Linked DNA regions of Saccharomyces cerevisiae S288C. Changing the gene in region 3 together with the main gene of any one other region gives a genetic interaction. Each region holds a gene or a part of one and is shown on either strand. Other genes may lie near its edges.

Region 1 (4,292 bases), on a different chromosome or scaffold from region 3:
TGGCATCTTCACCGCTGAGAAATGATAACAAAAGTAAAGTGAACCCAATAGGGTCAGTAGCCTCCGCATCAAAACCATCAATGGTAGCTGCTAACAATAAATCGAGGGTCCTGTTGACGTCTAAGTCTTTGGCAACGCCAAAAAACGTAGTAGCTAATAGCACTGACAAGAATGAAAAGTTGATTGAAGAATACAAGTACAGACTGCAAAAACTACAAAATGATGAGATGATATGGACCAAAGAAAGACAAAGCCTATTGGAAAAGATGAATAATACAGAAAATTATAAGATCGAAATGATTAAAGAAAACGAAATGCTAAGAGAGCAACTAAAGGAAGCGCAGTCTAAATTGAACGAAAAGAACATTCAATTAAGATCCAAGGAGATTGATGTCAATAAGCTGTCTGATAGAGTACTGTCACTAGAAAACGAGCTTAGAAACATGGAGATCGAATTGGATAGAAATAAGAAAAGAAATGATACAAACTTGCAATCGATGGGTACGATTTCATCATACTCCATACCTTCTTCCACCGTGTCAAGCAACTATGGGGTAAAATCTTTATCTTCCGCTTTGCCATTTAAGGAGGAGGAAGATGTCAGAAGGAAAGAGGACGTCAACTATGAAAGAAGATCAAGCGAGTCCATCGGCGACCTGCCGCACCGCGTAAACTCTCTTAACATACGGCCGTACAGAAAAAACGGCACTGGAGTGAGCAGTGTCTCCGACGATTTGGATATCGATTTCAACGATAGTTTTGCCTCAGAAGAAAGTTATAAACGTGCCGCTGCAGTGACATCTACCCTAAAGGCCAGAATTGAAAAAATGAAGGCCAAATCAAGGCGGGAAGGGACAACCAGGACGTAAAGGGTAGCCTCCCCATAACATAAACTCAATAAAATATATAGTCTTCAACTTGAAAAAGGAACAAGCTCATGCAAAGAGGTGGTACCCGCACGCCGAAATGCATGCAAGTAACCTATTCAAAGTAATATCTCATACATGTTTCATGAGGGTAACAACATGCGACTGGGTGAGCATATGTTCCGCTGATGTGATGTGCAAGATAAACAAGCAAGGCAGAAACTAACTTCTTCTTCATGTAATAAACACACCCCGCGTTTATTTACCTATCTCTAAACTTCAACACCTTATATCATAACTAATATTTCTTGAGATAAGCACACTGCACCCATACCTTCCTTAAAAACGTAGCTTCCAGTTTTTGGTGGTTCCGGCTTCCTTCCCGATTCCGCCCGCTAAACGCATATTTTTGTTGCCTGGTGGCATTTGCAAAATGCATAACCTATGCATTTAAAAGATTATGTATGCTCTTCTGACTTTTCGTGTGATGAGGCTCGTGGAAAAAATGAATAATTTATGAATTTGAGAACAATTTTGTGTTGTTACGGTATTTTACTATGGAATAATCAATCAATTGAGGATTTTATGCAAATATCGTTTGAATATTTTTCCGACCCTTTGAGTACTTTTCTTCATAATTGCATAATATTGTCCGCTGCCCCTTTTTCTGTTAGACGGTGTCTTGATCTACTTGCTATCGTTCAACACCACCTTATTTTCTAACTATTTTTTTTTTAGCTCATTTGAATCAGCTTATGGTGATGGCACATTTTTGCATAAACCTAGCTGTCCTCGTTGAACATAGGAAAAAAAAATATATAAACAAGGCTCTTTCACTCTCCTTGCAATCAGATTTGGGTTTGTTCCCTTTATTTTCATATTTCTTGTCATATTCCTTTCTCAATTATTATTTTCTACTCATAACCTCACGCAAAATAACACAGTCAAATCAATCAAAATGTCTGAAATTACTTTGGGTAAATATTTGTTCGAAAGATTAAAGCAAGTCAACGTTAACACCGTTTTCGGTTTGCCAGGTGACTTCAACTTGTCCTTGTTGGACAAGATCTACGAAGTTGAAGGTATGAGATGGGCTGGTAACGCCAACGAATTGAACGCTGCTTACGCCGCTGATGGTTACGCTCGTATCAAGGGTATGTCTTGTATCATCACCACCTTCGGTGTCGGTGAATTGTCTGCTTTGAACGGTATTGCCGGTTCTTACGCTGAACACGTCGGTGTTTTGCACGTTGTTGGTGTCCCATCCATCTCTGCTCAAGCTAAGCAATTGTTGTTGCACCACACCTTGGGTAACGGTGACTTCACTGTTTTCCACAGAATGTCTGCCAACATTTCTGAAACCACTGCTATGATCACTGACATTGCTACCGCCCCAGCTGAAATTGACAGATGTATCAGAACCACTTACGTCACCCAAAGACCAGTCTACTTAGGTTTGCCAGCTAACTTGGTCGACTTGAACGTCCCAGCTAAGTTGTTGCAAACTCCAATTGACATGTCTTTGAAGCCAAACGATGCTGAATCCGAAAAGGAAGTCATTGACACCATCTTGGCTTTGGTCAAGGATGCTAAGAACCCAGTTATCTTGGCTGATGCTTGTTGTTCCAGACACGACGTCAAGGCTGAAACTAAGAAGTTGATTGACTTGACTCAATTCCCAGCTTTCGTCACCCCAATGGGTAAGGGTTCCATTGACGAACAACACCCAAGATACGGTGGTGTTTACGTCGGTACCTTGTCCAAGCCAGAAGTTAAGGAAGCCGTTGAATCTGCTGACTTGATTTTGTCTGTCGGTGCTTTGTTGTCTGATTTCAACACCGGTTCTTTCTCTTACTCTTACAAGACCAAGAACATTGTCGAATTCCACTCCGACCACATGAAGATCAGAAACGCCACTTTCCCAGGTGTCCAAATGAAATTCGTTTTGCAAAAGTTGTTGACCACTATTGCTGACGCCGCTAAGGGTTACAAGCCAGTTGCTGTCCCAGCTAGAACTCCAGCTAACGCTGCTGTCCCAGCTTCTACCCCATTGAAGCAAGAATGGATGTGGAACCAATTGGGTAACTTCTTGCAAGAAGGTGATGTTGTCATTGCTGAAACCGGTACCTCCGCTTTCGGTATCAACCAAACCACTTTCCCAAACAACACCTACGGTATCTCTCAAGTCTTATGGGGTTCCATTGGTTTCACCACTGGTGCTACCTTGGGTGCTGCTTTCGCTGCTGAAGAAATTGATCCAAAGAAGAGAGTTATCTTATTCATTGGTGACGGTTCTTTGCAATTGACTGTTCAAGAAATCTCCACCATGATCAGATGGGGCTTGAAGCCATACTTGTTCGTCTTGAACAACGATGGTTACACCATTGAAAAGTTGATTCACGGTCCAAAGGCTCAATACAACGAAATTCAAGGTTGGGACCACCTATCCTTGTTGCCAACTTTCGGTGCTAAGGACTATGAAACCCACAGAGTCGCTACCACCGGTGAATGGGACAAGTTGACCCAAGACAAGTCTTTCAACGACAACTCTAAGATCAGAATGATTGAAATCATGTTGCCAGTCTTCGATGCTCCACAAAACTTGGTTGAACAAGCTAAGTTGACTGCTGCTACCAACGCTAAGCAATAAGCGATTTAATCTCTAATTATTAGTTAAAGTTTTATAAGCATTTTTATGTAACGAAAAATAAATTGGTTCATATTATTACTGCACTGTCACTTACCATGGAAAGACCAGACAAGAAGTTGCCGACAGTCTGTTGAATTGGCCTGGTTAGGCTTAAGTCTGGGTCCGCTTCTTTACAAATTTGGAGAATTTCTCTTAAACGATATGTATATTCTTTTCGTTGGAAAAGATGTCTTCCAAAAAAAAAACCGATGAATTAGTGGAACCAAGGAAAAAAAAAGAGGTATCCTTGATTAAGGAACACTGTTTAAACAGTGTGGTTTCCAAAACCCTGAAACTGCATTAGTGTAATAGAAGACTAGACACCTCGATACAAATAATGGTTACTCAATTCAAAACTGCCAGCGAATTCGACTCTGCAATTGCTCAAGACAAGCTAGTTGTCGTAGATTTCTACGCCACTTGGTGCGGTCCATGTAAAATGATTGCTCCAATGATTGAAAAATTCTCTGAACAATACCCACAAGCTGATTTCTATAAATTGGATGTCGATGAATTGGGTGATGTTGCACAAAAGAATGAAGTTTCCGCTATGCCAACTTTGCTTCTATTCAAGAACGGTAAGGAAGTTGCAAAGGTTGTTGGTGCCAACCCAGCGGCTATTAAGCAAGCCATTGCTGCTAATGCTTAAACTCACCCAATGACCGATATATTGTGTTTCTATACTGTGTTTGTTATATATAGTTTACCTTTTTTAGACAAAAAAACAGAATTATATA
Region 2 (4,385 bases), on a different chromosome or scaffold from region 3:
ATTCTACTCGATGCCAACGGTAACATCGCTCTTTGCGATTTTGGTCTTTCTAAAGCTGACTTGAAGGATAGAACAAACACATTTTGCGGCACCACGGAATACCTGGCACCAGAATTGTTACTGGACGAAACCGGCTACACCAAAATGGTCGATTTCTGGTCTCTAGGTGTTTTGATATTTGAAATGTGTTGTGGTTGGTCCCCTTTCTTTGCGGAAAATAATCAAAAAATGTACCAAAAAATTGCCTTTGGTAAAGTCAAATTCCCCAGAGACGTACTGTCACAAGAGGGGAGGTCTTTTGTAAAGGGTTTACTAAACAGAAACCCCAAACATAGACTCGGTGCCATTGATGATGGAAGAGAACTACGAGCTCATCCATTTTTCGCAGATATCGACTGGGAGGCCTTGAAGCAGAAAAAAATTCCACCACCTTTCAAACCTCACCTAGTCTCGGAGACGGATACCTCGAATTTTGACCCAGAGTTCACAACAGCTTCAACTTCATACATGAACAAGCACCAGCCGATGATGACTGCTACCCCGCTATCTCCAGCCATGCAAGCAAAGTTTGCTGGTTTCACCTTTGTTGATGAGTCCGCCATCGATGAACACGTTAATAACAACAGAAAATTCCTACAAAACTCGTACTTTATGGAACCTGGTTCCTTTATCCCGGGAAATCCAAACTTACCTCCAGACGAAGATGTCATCGATGATGACGGGGACGAGGACATCAATGATGGATTCAACCAAGAGAAAAATATGAACAACAGCCATTCGCAGATGGACTTCGACGGCGACCAACACATGGATGACGAATTTGTCAGTGGAAGATTCGAAATATGATTTCTCAATCGCTCCTCTTGCCCTTCCTCTTCTTTTCCTTTTCTTTTTATTTTTTTCTAATTTTTCTATCTTTTATTTCTACTTCTATTATTAATTTGTATCTTCTAATCGTTTTTCCCACTTTATCGAAACATTTCTTCTATTTATATATGTAAAGTATGTATGTATTTTCGTTTTATTTAAACTCCAAAAAATGAATAATTGTTCCTGCAAATTTCTAGTTTATCACGTCTCATAATCACTGCTTATACCTCACCATTCCATTGTACTTTGACATATTTACCCCTCATCTATATATAATCAGGGCTTAAGTAAACGCTTCGCTGTGATTTCCCAAAGTCGGTTCGGAAATTATAGGTCGGTTATATCATCCGAAAAAAAAAAAAAAAAAGTTTTTCTTAAATGCATAGGTTTAAAGTCGATTAAAAGTAGGGCTAACACAAGTATAAGCAGGGTTTTGCTATAATAGGGATGCCATAAGTGAGGGCAGGGCTCATCGATGCGCGTACATGGATTTTCCGAAATTCTGAATTTTTTCTTTCTTTAACTATGAGCAAAATGTGGTCAGCTTTACTGAGCTTAACTGTCATCCCATCGAATGTGACAAGATTGAAAGTGCTTCCAGGATCTGAAACATTTGTCAAAGTTTTACTAACATTACACAGATATCCCTGGTCACCTTACTATCTTCCAACATCTTACCTAGGCTTGCTGCTTTTGTTTGGGTCATATATTTAACTCGCTCATTAGAGGACATTCTGTTTTTTCCAAGACCAACAAAAAAGCAACGAAATTGCTGTATTATTAAAGGACTGTTATAGAAGTTTTTTTATCCTCTCTTTGTTTCCATTATTCTTATTCCTATTTTTTCGTTGCTTACTTTTGATATCCACTATGAGCTTTTCCACCATAAATAGCAACGTCAATAAAACCACCGGCGATAGCAATAATAACACCACCGAGAACAGTTCGACTGCAGACCTTTTAGGAATGGACTTGTTGCAGAGCGGGCCTCGACTGATGAACACGATGCAGCCAAACAACTCTTCTGACATGCTGCACATTAACAACAAGACTAATAACGTTCAACAACCAGCTGGAAACACAAATATCAGCAGTGCTAATGCGGGAGCAAAGGCTCCAGCAAATGAGTTCGTAAGAAAACTGTTCAGGATACTGGAAAACAATGAATATCCTGACATTGTAACTTGGACTGAGAACGGCAAAAGTTTCGTCGTTTTGGACACAGGAAAGTTCACTACGCATATATTGCCTAATCACTTCAAACATTCAAATTTTGCATCTTTTGTAAGGCAACTAAACAAGTATGACTTTCACAAGGTTAAGAGAAGTCCCGAGGAAAGACAGAGATGTAAATATGGCGAACAAAGTTGGGAGTTTCAGCATCCAGAATTTAGAGTCCATTACGGAAAAGGTCTCGATAACATCAAAAGGAAAATTCCGGCGCAAAGGAAAGTGCTTTTGGATGAATCTCAAAAGGCTCTTTTGCATTTCAATAGTGAAGGCACTAACCCCAACAATCCTTCTGGGTCTCTTTTGAATGAATCCACCACAGAGCTGTTGTTAAGCAATACCGTAAGTAAAGATGCATTTGGAAATCTAAGAAGGCGAGTAGACAAACTACAAAAGGAGTTGGATATGTCCAAAATGGAGAGTTATGCTACTAAAGTAGAACTACAAAAGTTGAACTCGAAATACAATACGGTTATCGAAAGTTTGATAACATTCAAGACCATAAATGAAAATTTACTCAACAACTTCAACACTCTGTGTTCCACTTTGGCAAATAATGGTATTGAAGTGCCAATATTTGGCGACAATGGAAACCGTAACCCAACTGGTAATACCAACCCAGCAACAACAACAGCTATCCAAAGCAACAACAACACCAACAATGCTTCTCCGGCAACATCTACAGTTTCCTTACAACTACCTAATTTACCCGATCAGAATAGCCTAACACCAAATGCTCAAAATAACACAGTCACGCTACGAAAAGGTTTCCATGTACTGTTGGTGGAAGATGACGCAGTGTCTATACAGTTGTGTTCAAAATTTTTACGGAAATATGGCTGTACTGTCCAAGTTGTCAGCGACGGTCTTTCAGCTATCTCAACACTAGAGAAGTATAGGTATGATTTGGTTTTAATGGACATTGTTATGCCAAACCTAGATGGTGCCACAGCGACATCCATTGTCAGAAGTTTTGATAATGAGACTCCCATCATTGCCATGACAGGTAACATTATGAATCAAGACTTGATCACATACTTACAACATGGAATGAATGATATCTTGGCCAAACCATTCACGAGGGATGATTTACACTCAATTTTAATACGTTATCTAAAGGACCGTATTCCTTTATGCGAACAGCAATTACCACCTCGCAACTCTTCGCCACAAACTCATTCCAACACCAATACTGCTAATTCGAATCCTAATACGATTAATGAACAGTCGTTAGCCATGTTACCACAAGATAATCCGTCAACTACTACCCCTGTTACCCCAGGTGCCTCTATATCTTCTGCACAGCATGTTCAACAAGGTCAACAAGAACAGCAGCATCAAATTTTCCATGCTCAGCAGCAGCAGCAGCATCACAACGCCATTGCTAATGCTAGGTCAGACGTAGCCATACCGAATTTGGAACATGAAATCAACACTGTACCACATTCCTCAATGGGTTCCACTCCGCAATTACCACAATCTACACTTCAAGAAAACCAGCTATCATAAAATTTTACAAATAGCCTTGCGTCTAAGTTAGCAGAGGACATTCTGTATTCCTGAGGAGTTTCTTTATATTTATTATGTGATCTTGGAGGATTATCATTTTCTTTTCGTTCAATATTTTATCCCCTTCAGTTATTTCCAGTTATCTACATCAAAATGTTTGAATTTTATTTCTTTCTGCCGCTCTCAAATTCACTCTCATTTCTTTTTTCTTTGTTTTTCTTATATTTACTATATATATATATATATATATATATATATAGCCAAAAACAATAACAGACACAGTAATTTAGTATGCGTTTATCTCTTATCTTTCATCCACTGCGACCGAAACGTTTGAATCGAATCTGACTGAGGTTTTTCTTACATTCCCTTGTGTATCAACAGTTTCTGGTATGTCTAATTCAAATTCTTTTCCATTCTTCAGTATTTCTTTTAAATCTGGCTGGGCCTCTCTCATGGAAGATTTACGATTACCAGTTGATTTCTTAGAGCCATCTTCACTACTATCATTGGAATCTATTTTTTCTACTCCTAAATTAGCATCCGCATTCTTTTTCTCTAGATTTGGAACTCTTTCAAATGTAGATAGTTCATTTTGACAGCGGTCACACTGGCATAAGAAGCCCCAGTTAACTCTTAATTCCCTACGCCTCAACCTCACCCCATGTAAGGGATTGACGTACGTAATACGTATTTGTTCCCCCTTCTTTATTGGTTTCCTTGCATGCAACCTCAGTTCCTCATGTTCTTCTACTTGCTCAATATAGGCGTTTGGT
Region 3 (5,421 bases):
TGTGCATTCCAACATTAGAAGATGGCACTGTTGACATCGATACTAAGGAATGGAATTTTATCAAGACGTGGGAGTTGATGCAAGAGTTGCCAAAGACGGGCAAAACTAAAGCCGTTGGTGTCTCTAATTTTTCTATTAACAACATTAAAGAATTATTAGAATCTCCAAATAACAAGGTGGTACCAGCTACTAATCAAATTGAAATTCATCCATTGCTACCACAAGACGAATTGATTGCCTTTTGTAAGGAAAAGGGTATTGTTGTTGAAGCCTACTCACCATTTGGGAGTGCTAATGCTCCTTTACTAAAAGAGCAAGCAATTATTGATATGGCTAAAAAGCACGGCGTTGAGCCAGCACAGCTTATTATCAGTTGGAGTATTCAAAGAGGCTACGTTGTTCTGGCCAAATCGGTTAATCCTGAAAGAATTGTATCCAATTTTAAGATTTTCACTCTGCCTGAGGATGATTTCAAGACTATTAGTAACCTATCCAAAGTGCATGGTACAAAGAGAGTCGTTGATATGAAGTGGGGATCCTTCCCAATTTTCCAATGAGCGCGCTACATTACAGTTAATGCCTCCAGCAACCTGTAGTGCTTCTTTAAACCGATCCGATACAGCTGAAACAAACATTGATTTTACTAATTTTCATATAATATATACACATATATCGAATGATAATGCAAAATATAATTTAATGAAATTGGAAATACTCGGAAAATTTATCATTATCCTTTTCTTCTTTTGAACGTAAACTTCGGACCGTCGTCATCGTCGTCGTCGCCATCACCGTTATTAGAAGCCCCAAAAGAGCCACGTGATCTACTAGTTGCGCTTCTACTGTGTCTACTTTGCTTGGAACATTCTTCTGACAAGTTTGGCCGTAAGTTCATTTCCTTCACCACAAAAAGATTACGATTATTTTCTCTGTGATTTAGTCTATCGCTTTTATCATCAATATCACCCAGATCATCTTCATCAGTAATAAAAATTTTGTTTTTTAGTGGTTGAACGCTGGCTGCAGTACCTGAACAACGAGAAAAAGAAAACGAATCTTCTTCTCCTTCATTTGAACTATCCTCATTCGTGAATCTGTTTAGAGCTTGAGATCTTTTCTGGATAGTGTTTGAGTTTATATTATCGGACATAAATGTATTCGATCCAAATCTTTCCATCTCCGTCAAAGCAAACATATCTTCGTTTTCTTCTGTGCCCCATTTTGTAGTTGTATCCTTTTTGGAGTATTTTTTTAACGGAACATAATTTCTAGTGATTAAAAAGGCTGCATTTCGTATAAAATCTGAGCTTTGAGTGTTATTTTTACCCTCTTCTTTGTGCGCCTTTGATTTTGGACGTACCTTGACAAAAGTCTTGAAATTCTTGCGTTTATGCCATTCTGGCTCCATTAGGCTATTTTCCCATTTTTCAGTTGTTCTGCTTGTTTTGTTTCCCTCACTATCAAATGATTTCCTCAGTAAATTGTTACTAGGTTCTACAATAGCCAAATTTTTTAGCTGATTAATAGCTTCCTCGCTCAACTCCTCATCCTTCAATTCAACAATGGTTGACTTAACTCTTTTGACCTCTCTATTTTTAGTTTCTTGAATAGCTTCAACAAATGCGTGCGGCGTACCAGATTTCTCTTTAATAGATAACTCTTTTACAGGTGACTTACAATTTTCTTGTAATGGAGATGAAATTTCTCGTGAATAATTAGAAAGTTTACGGATGTTTTTAGAGGGTTGCTCTATATTCTGGTGATGATTCACCCTAAAATTCTTAGTAACTTCAGCATCATCCATCGAATTCACAGCAGCTGTTTCATAGTCAGCGGAGTTCGAAGATATGGTTTGAGAGCCAATCCCTGCTACCTCCGGCAATGACGGCTGTGGTAACTTATGTGACTGTAGCGACTTATCCAACGAATCCTCACTCGTGTTCACAGTACCTAAGTTGGGGCTACTGACAATTATAGCACCAGGGCTACTGTGACCACTTTTCTTTCCAATATCTTCAGTCGGCTTTAGTGCGTTTTGAAGAAATGGGGCGTGCTTTTCATCTGCCTCTGCAATGTTGGGACTTGAAATGACAGTCTTTGATTCTGCGCCACAATTAAGTCTCTTAGCGTCAGTTAAAGACCTATTTTCTGATAGAGTCTTAGTACTCAAACCTCCAGCAAAAAAATCAAGACTATCGAGTGGTAGTACTCTACGTCTATTTAATTTTCGCTTCTTCGAGACTACTGGACTAGCTTCAACTTCAGGTGCACGAGATGTTTTCAAAATAGTAGACATTCCTTCAGAAATTTGATCAAATTTACCGTTATCTAGAGTTCTTGAAGATGCACCCTTCATATTAATCACTGCGCTTAAGGTGCCATCTATTATTGATGTTAACATCGTTTTGATAGTACATAGAATTTTCCCATTTTCTTTCTTATCTGTAGTTGTCAAAATCAGGTATTCTGTTGATGCTTCCAAGCTGTCAACATATTTATATAAACTATCAATGTTGTCAAATGCAAATAAATTTATATTGAACGTCCGCAGGAGAGATGATAGACGTGGTTCACTTTTGATAGTAGTTAACACTCTGATATTATTCAGCCTCATAAACTTCGAAAGCAAAATATTTGGATCAAAATCAAAAACATTGTACTCCGGATTACTAATCATATCGTTCCACATTTCATCAAATTTTAAATTAGTTTTAGATGTGGGAAGAAGAGTATTACACAATTCCATCAGAAACCGTGATTTTTTCATGGGTATAGTACTAACAAGGGCATACAATTCCCGTATGCTGTTGTCCTCGCTCTTTGGGTAATCGCTAATCATCAGATTAGCGGGAATATCATTAATAGAAATCTCAGTGGAGATACCATATTCAGAAAGCATCGTCCTGAATTGTGTCAAATGAGGAGGAATGTTCCAGACTTCATTTATCCATTCGAACTCTATACGAATAGGAGTTGTACCCAGTTCAATTATTGTGGACTTTAAAACGTCCGAGGCATTAATAGTAAATGTTTCGCCAACTTTCATGAATTTTTTATTTAATGATGTCAATTTACCCTTGTTAACTAAACACAGGCTACTGTGTTTCAGATCCGAACTATTATTGATTTCCCATTTGAATGTGATATGCTGTCTGGAAATACTTTTATCATTTTTAATTATCAGTGGGTTTTTACTTGATCTACCTATACTATAAGTTTTGAAGGCCTGAAGACAACATGATATAAAGCTAATAGAGCCATCTTCCAATGTATTCTGGTATCGTACTACCCACATAAATTTATAGTTATCACCTTCTCAGTATTGTTGCTCATCTATTACAAAATTCTGCTTATTTGGTTTACGCATTGCTTTTCATAGAAAAAAAGGGCTCCCCATATAAATTTAAGAAAAGTACTAATATTTAGCGTAGTTAACAACTTTACGAAAATGAAAATGAAATATTTCTCGGAAAAGTATTATATATTATACACGTCTCTACATTCCAAATAATTCTACGTTTCTTGGAGTAGTCTTAAGTTTAGTGATGACGATGGCGTTGTTAGTATCTATACCGATTTCAAATGATTCTGGTTTTGTACTGCTATAGTCAGAGATATTTGCCTCCACCAGCTTACAAATTGCTTCAATACAATAATGACACCATTCTACCGCAATTTGGGCATTATAGTTAAGTTCCTTTTTATTTGTAGGTAGACCTGGGTGATTGAATTTCTTACATAATAAGTCCCTTGAGTACCATTGAATGTCTAGTAATTGACCGCTATGACTGTCCCTCAAACCTATCATGATATCTGAGTTCGGTAATAAACCCGTCTGTACCCACGTTTTCAGAAGTTTTCTCCTATGATTGGAATTGTGCATTGATAATGGGGCAAAACACTTTAGTTCTGTGTTTGTCTCCGAAACAGGATTGAATGCATCCATTTCGCAGCGAATTAAAAGACCAATTTCTTCTGAAAGTTTACTCTCTACAAGAGAAAAAATAGGACATTTAGAGCCAGTTAAATCAGCGACTTTGGAATTTTCGGTTACCCAATTTTCAAATTCAAATCCTGAATAGCAAATTTTCTTCATATTTGGATCATTTGAATAAATGCCCTCTTTGGACATTTGAGAATCTTTTTTTACATTTCTGCAAAATGAAAGAAGGCCCGCCCCCATATAAGTTACAATTAGTGACGTTTGTCTATTTCGCCTGTTAAAGAGATGCATAGTCAAATCTACGATATGATGTCTTGTGGTTACAACAGTAAATTTCTTGCCGATCTTAAAATCCTTACCAGGATTATCTAGTATCCAGTTCTCAATGTATGAAAAACACGGTGATACACTATCTAATTCGGATATTGTCATGGGAACGAACTCATCAATATTAGCAAATAAGTCATGGCCTAAATACGGGACTTTCCGCTTTTTTGCCTCAAGAAGCGAGCTTTCATACAATTCAGCAATACTTTCTTTCAAATTTGGTATAAGGTCTTTGCGTAGGATTGTATAAGCCCGGCCATTGGTAAACAGAGCTACTTCTTTACTTTCATGAAATATATCTCTTGGTGGTTTCGTCAAAAAATTGTGCATACCAGTATGCAGAAAAGACGTATATGGGATACATATAAGTTTCGGACGTCTCTTTCTATAATTGTCTCTCTGTTGTGAAGGCTTCCTTGACGAAGATGAATCAGAAGTAGTTTTCTCTTTGCATAATTTACTTTGGTGTCCTCTCTCGAGATTGGGCACAGTAAGCAAATTTATACCTTCTAAATCTTTGGCCAATCCAAGAACAGCATCTTGTTCAGTTGACATAACTGAGTTTGGCTAGAAAGAAAACTTTGACATAAAATCATCGATACCTACAACTGGCGCTGTAATGCAACAATGCCATTATAAAAGTAAAACATGCTGCGAAAATTGCGGAAAAACTGGAAAAATCAATAGTGGGGTAATCCCAGTTAGTTTGACACAATAATTTGGTGATTTTGGTGGAATAATCATTATTTGTGAGGATACACCAACGAAAAGAACCTTTTGTGGTAGTATGGTCCAACAATTGTATTTGCAGGTTGGTACTAACAACCTCTATAAGTAGACGATACAAGAGTGATCATATGGTAGGACACTCAGCTCAGCACAGATCAAAAAGCAGCTTAGTGTCTCACCTACTAATACTACTTATCTTTATAACGATTATTATTGAAATGTGTTTATATAATAAAATTTTTAAGAACCAAAGGTCGGATGATATTAGAGACAACTTTAACAATGGCGGACATCGAGTTCCCAGTAATGTCCAAAATCATGGAACCCATATAAGAGACGAAGCCTTTATATCAGGGGTCTATTATTCCAATTGGTCCCCATACAAACCGAGGTTTCATTTCCCTCACGACATAAACTTGAAG

Evidence for each region. A genetic interaction does not mean that the proteins touch.
Region 1: mutations in XRS2 (region 3) and PDC1 together harm fitness more than expected from each alone (negative genetic interaction), as found in Saccharomyces cerevisiae (2 studies listed by BioGRID).
Region 2: mutations in XRS2 (region 3) and SKN7 together harm fitness more than expected from each alone (negative genetic interaction), as found in Saccharomyces cerevisiae (3 studies listed by BioGRID, with this or other methods).

The regions. Positions count from the first base shown.
Region 1 is NC_001144.5:231,614-235,905, reverse strand, and holds PDC1 (indolepyruvate decarboxylase 1), read left to right. Parts: upstream 1-1,824; coding exon 1,825-3,516; downstream 3,517-4,292. Other genes in the region: STU2 (Stu2p), read left to right, coding at 1-869; thioredoxin TRX1, read left to right, coding at 3,893-4,204. UniProt on the Saccharomyces cerevisiae protein: Major of three pyruvate decarboxylases (PDC1, PDC5, PDC6) implicated in the nonoxidative conversion of pyruvate to acetaldehyde and carbon dioxide during alcoholic fermentation.
Region 2 is NC_001140.6:510,992-515,376, forward strand, and holds SKN7 (kinase-regulated stress-responsive transcription factor SKN7), read left to right. Parts: upstream 1-1,740; coding exon 1,741-3,609; downstream 3,610-4,385. Other genes in the region: serine/threonine protein kinase SCH9, read left to right, coding at 1-846; SET5 (S-adenosylmethionine-dependent methyltransferase), read right to left, coding at 3,914-4,385. UniProt on the Saccharomyces cerevisiae protein: Transcription factor that is part of a SLN1-YPD1-SKN7 two-component regulatory system, which controls gene expression in response to changes in the osmolarity of the extracellular environment.
Region 3 is NC_001136.10:1,214,286-1,219,706, forward strand, and holds XRS2 (Xrs2p), read right to left. Parts: upstream 3,296-5,421; coding exon 731-3,295; downstream 1-730. Other genes in the region: trifunctional aldehyde reductase/carbonyl reductase (NADPH)/glucose 1-dehydrogenase (NADP(+)) YPR1, read left to right, coding at 1-557; DXO1 (Dxo1p), read right to left, coding at 3,497-4,825; CTS2 (putative chitinase), read left to right, coding at 5,128-5,421. UniProt on the Saccharomyces cerevisiae protein: Component of the MRN complex, which plays a central role in double-strand break (DSB) repair, DNA recombination, maintenance of telomere integrity and meiosis.